2 linked regions of the Macaca fascicularis genome follow. The protein of the gene in region 2 purifies or fractionates together with the protein of the main gene of each other region. This does not show direct contact. Links are inferred from orthologs where the notes say so. Each region holds a gene or a part of one and is shown on either strand. Other genes may lie near its edges.

What was found. Proteins that work in one complex are often made in the same cells at the same time.
Region 1: the proteins of CDK7 (region 2) and ERCC2 purify together in Homo sapiens (affinity purification with mass spectrometry; 10 studies listed by BioGRID and IntAct, counting the BioPlex papers as one, with this or other methods). This does not show direct contact. The link is inferred for Macaca fascicularis from reciprocal best matches to the Homo sapiens genes CDK7 and ERCC2.

The regions. Positions count from the first base shown.
Region 1 is NC_088393.1:53,406,066-53,410,275, forward strand, and holds part of ERCC2 (general transcription and DNA repair factor IIH helicase subunit XPD), read right to left. Parts: intron 4,082-4,210; coding exon 4,012-4,081; intron 3,926-4,011; coding exon 3,856-3,925; intron 3,753-3,855; coding exon 3,651-3,752; intron 2,149-3,650; coding exon 2,085-2,148; intron 1,273-2,084; coding exon 1,151-1,272; intron 1-1,150. UniProt on the Homo sapiens protein: ATP-dependent 5'-3' DNA helicase. Component of the general transcription and DNA repair factor IIH (TFIIH) core complex, not absolutely essential for minimal transcription in vitro.
Region 2 is NC_088380.1:74,914,700-74,918,909, forward strand, and holds part of CDK7 (cyclin-dependent kinase 7), read left to right. Parts: intron 1-2,116; coding exon 2,117-2,184; intron 2,185-2,968; coding exon 2,969-3,037; intron 3,038-4,210. UniProt on the Homo sapiens protein: Serine/threonine kinase involved in cell cycle control and in RNA polymerase II-mediated RNA transcription. Cyclin-dependent kinases (CDKs) are activated by the binding to a cyclin and mediate the progression through the cell cycle.

The DNA of each region.
Region 1 (4,210 bases), on a different chromosome or scaffold from region 2:
GCTGACTGTGAGGCAAGCAGAGTCAATCAGAGGCTGCCCTGAGATTTCCCATATGACACTACAATACAGACTGTGGAGCCAGTGCAAGGACACAGACCAGTGGGACAAAATGGAGAGTCCAGAAACACACAGCCACCTGTGCAGTTCAGTGGGGAAAGCTTTTACTGGAGCAAGTGGATTTCCAAATGGAACCAAAAAATGAACCTTGACCCCCTACCTTACACCATATAGAAAGATGAATTTGAGGTACCTCATAGACCTAGATGTGAAAGCTAAAACCACAAGCTCCTAGAAGGAAACACAGCAGCCTCTCTTCATGACCTTGGGGTATTTAAGACAAAGTTGTCTTAAATAGGACACAAAAGGCACCTGGGCTGTGGGGACTGGATCACCTTTCCGCCGTGTGGAAGCCACCTATTGAAGCACAAGGCCAAGGTCCCGGCTGTGAGGATGAGGTTCCTGCCTCCCATGAGTGCCATTCCAATACTTGGATTAGCCAGGTTCACTCACCTCGCCCCAATGTGCTTTCACCCACTCCTGAGAGCCTGGCCATGGTGTGCTCAGAGGCACAAAGTGCAGAGTGGCCTCCCCTCCCACCCAGGGACTGGCTGTGGTGAGCCCTGTTTCCAGAATGCCCCATGACTTCCTCTGCCTGCTTCCCTGAAAGGGCTCCTGCAGACCCTTGAGAGGCTTTGCCCTGAGTCTCAGTCCAGCCTTGATTCTCTAGAACCTTCCTCTAACCTAGATAGAGTCACACCTGCTACCTGGGCCTCCCCACCAGGCCATCTGTGCTGGAGGATCACAGGGATGGGGTAGCCCCAAAGAGCAGCAGGGGAGCAAGGAACCTAGAAGGTGGGGGTGACTCCGCCACAGGGTACTCCTCTGAGGGAGGGGCCCACATTGGGGCTTATGTCTGCGTTCTCAGCCTGATGTACTGGGGGCGGGGCATAGGGTATGTGCTGCTTACACCCCATTCCTACATGCTGCATGCACTCTCCTGTCACACAGGACACCTGTCACCATCAGAGGGTAAGAGGAATGAAGCTGACATAGCAGTGTAGTGCCAGGGGCTGAGGAGAACAGGTGACTCCCCTCCTGCAGTGCCAGGGGCTGAGGAGAGCAAGTGCAGGGAGGGGGTGGCCAGGCATACCTGCTCATACCAGGAGGCCACGGTGCTCTCCATGTACTGGTAGCTGGTGAAGAAGGCCACGATGCCATCAGGGACCACAGCAGACATCTCCAGCAGGAGGTTCCCGTAGTTCCGGATCACAGCTGCGAGGAGTCAGAGGTTAGGCCCTCTCCTGTCTCAGATCCTCCTCCCTTCTCTGTCTTCAAACTAGAGTTTCTGGAAACCCCACTGAGGCTGGCTGTCAGGCTATTCACACACATCCCCTTCCTCCTCCTCCCAGGCGTGTTTGAGGACCCTCCTTGCCACTTCCTGAAGTCACACCTGGCTATGTAATTTGCCATGGCCAATGAAATCAGTGCAGAAGGGGTCAGGCGCGGCGGCTCACGCCTGTAATCCCAGCACTTTGGGAGGTCGAGGTGGGTGGATCATCTGAGGTCAGGAGTTTGAGACCAGCCTGGCCAACACGGCAAAACCCCATCTGTACTAAAAATACAAAAATTAGCCTGGCGTGGTGGCAGATGCCTATAAATCCAGCTGCTCGGGAGGCTGAGGCACAAGAACTGCTTGAACCCGCAAGGCAAAGGTTGCAGTGAGCCGAGATCATGCCACTGCACTCCAGCCTAGGTAACAGAGCAAGACTCTGTCTCAAAAAAAGGCCATGTGTCACTTCCAGGGGAGCACCCTTAGGAACCAGTGCACAATTCACTGTGACCACTGTGATCCCACCTGTCATATCACGCTGCCTCTGACGCACCCAGCGATGGAGGTTCCCAGGTGAGGAGACACAGGGCAGGCCCCCTACCAGCTCGCAGTGGACGTGTCCCATGGGCAAGAAGGAAGCTCTGGGCTAAGCAACTAAGGCCAGGGACATTTGTTACAGCAGCGTGACTCAGCCCATCTGACTGATACACCTCCCTCTTGGAACCCACAGAAACCAGCCCCACTGGCAGCATACCAATATCCTCCCGGGTCTCAAATTTGGAGCTGATGGCCACCTGGTCATTGCCACGGCCGATGATCTGAAGAGAGCAACAGAGATCATGATAAGCGAGGCAGCAGCAACTGCTCCAGCGTGTGAGTGCTGACCACCTGCTGGTGCTGTTCTAAGCTTTTTTTTTTTTTTTTTTAATAGAGACAGGGCGTCACCATGTTGCCCAGTCTGGTCTTGAACATCTGGCCTCAAGCGACTGTCCCACCTTGGCCTCCCAAAGTGCTGGGATTATAGGAGTGAGCCACCACACCCAGTCTGCTCTAAACTTTTTATTAACACAGTGTCACTGAATGAACCCTCAGCTACCCTGGCCTCAGAAAAGGTGAGTTGCCTGCCCAAGGTCACACAGTGAATAGGTGGCAAACATGGAACTGGACCCGAGTCTGTCCACACTCTCCACCAGCAGCTACACTCTAGCCAGCCCCAGGCCCCAGGCCAGCCGGATCCCGAAGAACACCCCTCACTATGCCGGTGGGCATCCCCGCCAGCCGGCAACCTCACACAACCACCATGCAGTGGGTGGTCATCACTGGTCCACAACCTCTGACAGGGCAACTCCAAAAGCCAAAAGCTCTGAACACATTTCTTTTTCAGTTTGGCACAAACTCATTAAGTAGCAAAACCTGCCCTGCCCTGAGTCTCTGCAGAGGCCTGACTTACTCCTTAATGTGATGCTTCCAAATCTTTTACTGCCAAAATAGGAGTTTGACTCGGGGGAGCCACCCAGACCCCACTGGGGGCGTCACACACTACACAGCATATGCCTTGTCTCTAAAGGCTGGAAAATTCTGAATTCCAAAACAAATGGCTGCGCGCAGTGGCTCACACCTGTAATCCCAGCACTTTGGGAGGACCAGGTGGGCAGATCACTTGAGACCAGCCTGGCCAACATGGTGAAACCCTGTCTCTACTAAAAGTACAAAATTTAGCCGGGCGTTGTGGCACACGCCTGTAATCCCAGCTACTCAGGAGGCTGAAGCACGAGAATCACTTGAATCCAGGAGGCAGAGGTTGCAGTGAGCTGAGATCCGTGCCATTGCACTCCAGCCTGGGCAACAGAGCAAGAGTCCATCTCAAAACAAAAAACCAGCCTCGGGACTTCAGATAAGGGACTGAGGGCCCATGTTGACATGTACATGTTACAGAGATGGAGATGGACAGGAAGGCCCACTTACCTGGGTCACAGCCAGACCATGTACCCGGCAAAGCCACGTTAACCAAGATGCTGAGTAAGCGCCTACCTGTGCCAGACCCTGGGGTACCTAAGTGTTTTACCCCAGTTCTCTCTCAATCCTCTCAACCGCCCTGGGAGATCAGGGAGGATACATTCCCATTTCACAGATAAGAAAACTGAGGTTTGAGAGTTGTACCCCCGGAGAAGCAGAATCAAGCCTAAGTCTGTCTGAATCCCAAACCCGGCCTCTTCACTGTAAAACTCTCCTGCCTGAGCAGTGGGGGAAGCCAAGGAAGGGACGCAGCCCCTTGCTCCCACCTCCCCTCCCAGTCCCAGCCCTAGCCTCTCCCACTCACCATAGGGCAGAGGCAGACCCTGGCCAGCGTCATGGTGAAGGTTGCCATGGTGACGGGGTGGAAGTCCAGGATCTTGGGGTAGATGTCCAGCGGGGACAGTGTCTGTAGGGGGGACAGTGGGAGGGATCTCAGCAGGACTGGGCAGGGACCAGGAGGCCCATGGAAGGAGGCCAGGGACTGGGAGGAACAGGAGAAGGGCCCTCACCCCAGACGTGATGATGACAGACTGGAAGCGCTCGAATACAGGTTTGATGGCCAGCGAGGCGTCCATGCAGCTGGAGAGAGATGAGGGCGGTGAGGGCCCGGGGGGCTGGGCCCCTGACCCACAGTGCAGTCACACCCCCACCGGGCAGGGTCCCACCTGAAGTGCAGGATGGGGTTGGCAATGGTTGGGGTTCTGTCGTCAAAGGGCTCGATGATGATGGTGAAGCCTGCAGAGGGCAGGCAAGGACGGGTGAGATTACCCCACTACAGCCACAGCTGCACCCACTCAGCCATTCCCTCTCCCGCTCCCTTGCTTCACCCCAGTCTCCATCCCATACTGCCCAGGAGTGAATGGG
Region 2 (4,210 bases):
ATGTAATCTGACAGATAGGAAAAGTTTTATCCTTTTTTTTAAAAAAGGACAGGGTCTTGCTCTGTCACCCAGGCTGGAGTATAGAGACACAATCATAGCTCACTGCAGCCTCAAGCTTCTGTACTCAAGCAATTCTACCACCTCAGCCTCCTGAGTAGCTAGGGCTATAAACATATGCCACCACTTGTGGTTAATGTTTTATTTTTTGTAGAGATGGGGTTTGGCTGTGTTACTCAGGCTTCTCTCAAACTCCTGGCCTCAAGCTATCCTCCCACCTCGGCCTCCCAAAGTGCTGGAATTACAGGCTTGAGCCACCATGCCCAGCATAAAGTTTTCATTCTCACTGAAGAAACTAGCAAAGTATTAATTAATAAGAGTTAGCAGTGGTTCTGGATAGAGTTACTGCAGTGTCCCCGAAGAGTAAAGATAGACTCAGGATAGAGGAGTAGTATTTGGTGATTTTTACCAATTGGATGTTCAGAAAAACATTCTAAATCACCCACATAAATGGAAGGCAGCAAGCTTAATTAGTTTGTCTTTCTGTCTTCATTACGGTTTTACGTGTTACAAGCCATTGTTTTTTCTGTTTCTGAGTTTCTAATTTGAAAATTCAGGATACATTTTCATGAAAGTACATAAAGCTAACTATGGAATAGATATATGGGGAAAGGATTTCATTAAACTTTCTTCCAAAGTCTTATTTATTAGGAGTCATCATAAAATAGCTCTTATAAAAGAGACCCATTGTCTGTGTAAGTGCCAATACTATATCTTATTTTTATTTTATTTATTTATTTTTGAGACAGTGCCATGCTCTGTTGCCCAGGCTGGAGTGCAGTGGTGCGATCTCAGCTCACTGCAACCTCTGCCTCCCGGGTTCAAGCCATTTTCCTGCCTCAGCTTCCTGAGTAGCTAGGATTACAGGTGCGTGCCACCACGCCCAGCCAATTTTTTGTATTTTTAGTAGAGATGGGGTTTCACCACGTTGGCCAGGCTGGTCTCGATCTACTGGCCTCAAGTGATCTGCCCACCTAGGCCTCCCAAAGTGCTGGAATTATGAGCCACCGCACCTGGCCTATATCTTATTTTTAATTTTGAAATCTGTCATTTGTATTGGAATATATACTGTCTTATTACTAGTTTGCTTTTAGCACAAACAATATGCCACTAACATTTGTAGGGCAAGAGTAGGGAAGCTTATCATCTATATGCTGCACACTTATATATGTTCTTAGTCTGATGGTCTTCAGATCCTGATATCCTATAGATAAAGTGAAATTTTTTTCACCATTTGTCATAGTCTTTGTTAAGCTATTTTTTAAAAAAAGCAATATAGGCCTGGTACGGTGGCTCACGCCTATAATCCCAGCACTTTGGGAGGGTGAGGCGGGTAGATCGCCTGAGCTCAGGAGTTCGAGACCAGACTGGCCAACATAGCAAAACCCTGTCTCTAACAAAAGTACAAAAAATTAGCCAGGCGTGGAGGCACGCACCTGTGGTCCCAGCTACTCGGGAGGCTGAGGTGGGAGAATCACTTGAATCTGGGAGGTGGAGGCTGCAGTGAGCTGAGATCATGCCACTGCACTGCAACCTGGCTGACAGAGTGAAACCCCATCTCAAAAAAAATTAATAATAAAAATAAAGCAATGTAAAAGAACAACAGATTTCACATAAAAATTGTCAAAGTAGCCCTTATTTTTGTGTGGAATGTTCACTATTTTCTGAGGTGACTAACCTTTCTTTAAAAATATATGTTTGTGGCTGGGCGCGGTGGCTCACACCTGTAATCCCAGCACTTTGGGAGGCCGAGGCAGGTGGATCACGAGGTCGGGAGTTCGAGACCAGCCTGACTAACATGGTGAAACCCTGTCTCTACTAAAAATACAAAAATTAGCTGGGCGTGGTGGCGCATGCCTGTAATCCCAGCTACTCAGGAGGCTGAGGCAGGAGAATTGCTTGAACTCGGGAAGTGGAGGTTGCAGTAAGCTGAGATCACGTCACTGCCCTCCAGCCTGGACAACAGAGTGAGACTCCATCTCAAAAAAAAAAAAAAAAATGTGTTTTTAAGGTTTGAGATTTCAGAATTACTCACATTTTGCTTTGCCTTTTTATATAGGTATAAATAGAACAGCCTTAAGAGAGATAAAATTATTACAGGAGCTAAGTCATCCAAATATAATTGGTGTGAGTATGATCAAAACTGTTACTGGGATTTGGGACTCTGCCTTTTCTTAATATAATGGATGTTGATTAAAGGCTCAGCAAGATGACTTGTTCTAGATGAGCCTTACAGAAGCTTAAAGGAAATACATTTCCTATCCCAGTTGTTTTGGTAGACGTTGTCTTTAAAACTATACCACTGATTAAATAAATGAAATATTGACATGTAGGCTAATTTTGTCAGAAATAATTTTGAAGTCTAGGGAGCTCTAGCATATAGTGGCTGAGAGTGTGAACCTGAATTCAAAACCTTTCTTTCTGCCTGTGTGAGACCTTGAGTGTGTTTACTCACAACTCCCCGGAGTCCCTGCCCCATAGGGTAGTTGTGAGACTAGCCAATTGAACAGATGTATCTGGAATAGTGCCTGCCATGGAAAATGTATTCATTCATTCAATGATAGCCGCTGTTATTTAGAGGAGTTCTTAAGAATCACATTTGGGACTTTTCTTTTAAATTGGAGACTGGAATGAGGTTTTCACTGGTTAATTTCTTAATTATAACTCCAAATATTTGGGGAAAGAGGTTGGGTATTTTTTTTAAGTAAAATTTAATATTTTTGTGCTTCAAAATACTAATTCCTTTAGTACTGTCCAAAAAAGGAAAATGTCAAATTAATCAAATGATTTAAGCTTTATAGGGAATTACCAACAGTTTAAATGCTTTTTAAATTTTAAAAAATTGCCTCAGTTGCTATCATACTGTCAGGTATTAAATAGTGAATCACATTTTAATTTTTTTACTTTGCAGCTCCTTGATGCTTTTGGACATAAATCTAATATTAGCCTTGTCTTTGATTTTATGGAAACTGATCTAGAGGTAAGATTAAGATTCCTGGAGAAATTCCTTTGTCCCAGTTTATCAAACAAGAACCTAAATACTTGTTTTCTACCTAAGAAGATACTGCTAGTAAAAGGAAAAAAAAAGCTTAATTTTGTTGAAATTTGGATATACTCTAAGTCAAAAGGATCTCTTGAGTTATTTTCTTCTAATCATTTAGTGATATTCCCAGTGTTACATACAAAGATTTGGATTTCATTGGCCTTTCTCCCTTCCAAGTTCCCATAGCTAGTTGACGTCATTTTTGGAGAAATGAGCATTAGACCTGTAAGTTTTTTTTTTTTTTTTGAGATGGAGTCTTACTCTATCCTGGAGTGTAATGGCATGATCTCAGCTCACTGCAGCCTTCACCTCCTGGGTTCAAGTGATTCTCTCACTTCAGCCTCCCAAGTAGCTGGGATTACAGGTGCCAGCATGCCTGGCTAATTTTTATATTTGAAGTAGAGACGGGGTTTCACCATGTTGGCCAGGCTGGTCTTGAACTCCTGACCTCAAGTGATCCACCCTCCTCAGCCTCCCAAAGTGCTAGGATTACAGGCATGAGTCACCATGCCCAGCCAACGTATAAGAATTTTATTTCCGGACAGGTGCAGTGACTCACGCCTGTACTCTGAGCACTTTGAGAGGCCAAGGCAAGAGGATTGCTTAAGCCCAGGAGTTCAAGACCAGCCTGGACCACATAGTGAGATCCTGTCTCTACTTTAAAAATTATATTAAAAAATAAAGAAGCTTATTTCCATGTAACCAGAGTAATGTCATTCTTTTGAAAGCCAAGTTTGTTTTGTTTTTTGGTTTTTGTTTTTGAGACAGAGTTTCGCTCTGTTACCCAGGCTGGAGTGCAGTGGCGTGATCTCAACTCACTGCAACCTCTGCCTCCCAGGTTCAAGCGATTCTTGTGCCTCAGCCTCCCGAGTAACTGGGATTACAGGCACCCATCCCCATGCCCAGCTAATTTTTGTATTTTTAGTAGCGATGGAGTTTCACTTTGTTGGCCAGGCTGGTCTCAAACTCCTGTCTCAAGTAGTCCACCTGCCTTGGTTTCCCAAAGTGCTAAAATTACAGGTTTGGGCCACTGCATCTGGGCAAGTTTCTTTTTAAAAAATATAAAATTCATTAATATTAGTTGAATCTCAAAAATCGAATAATCCAAGG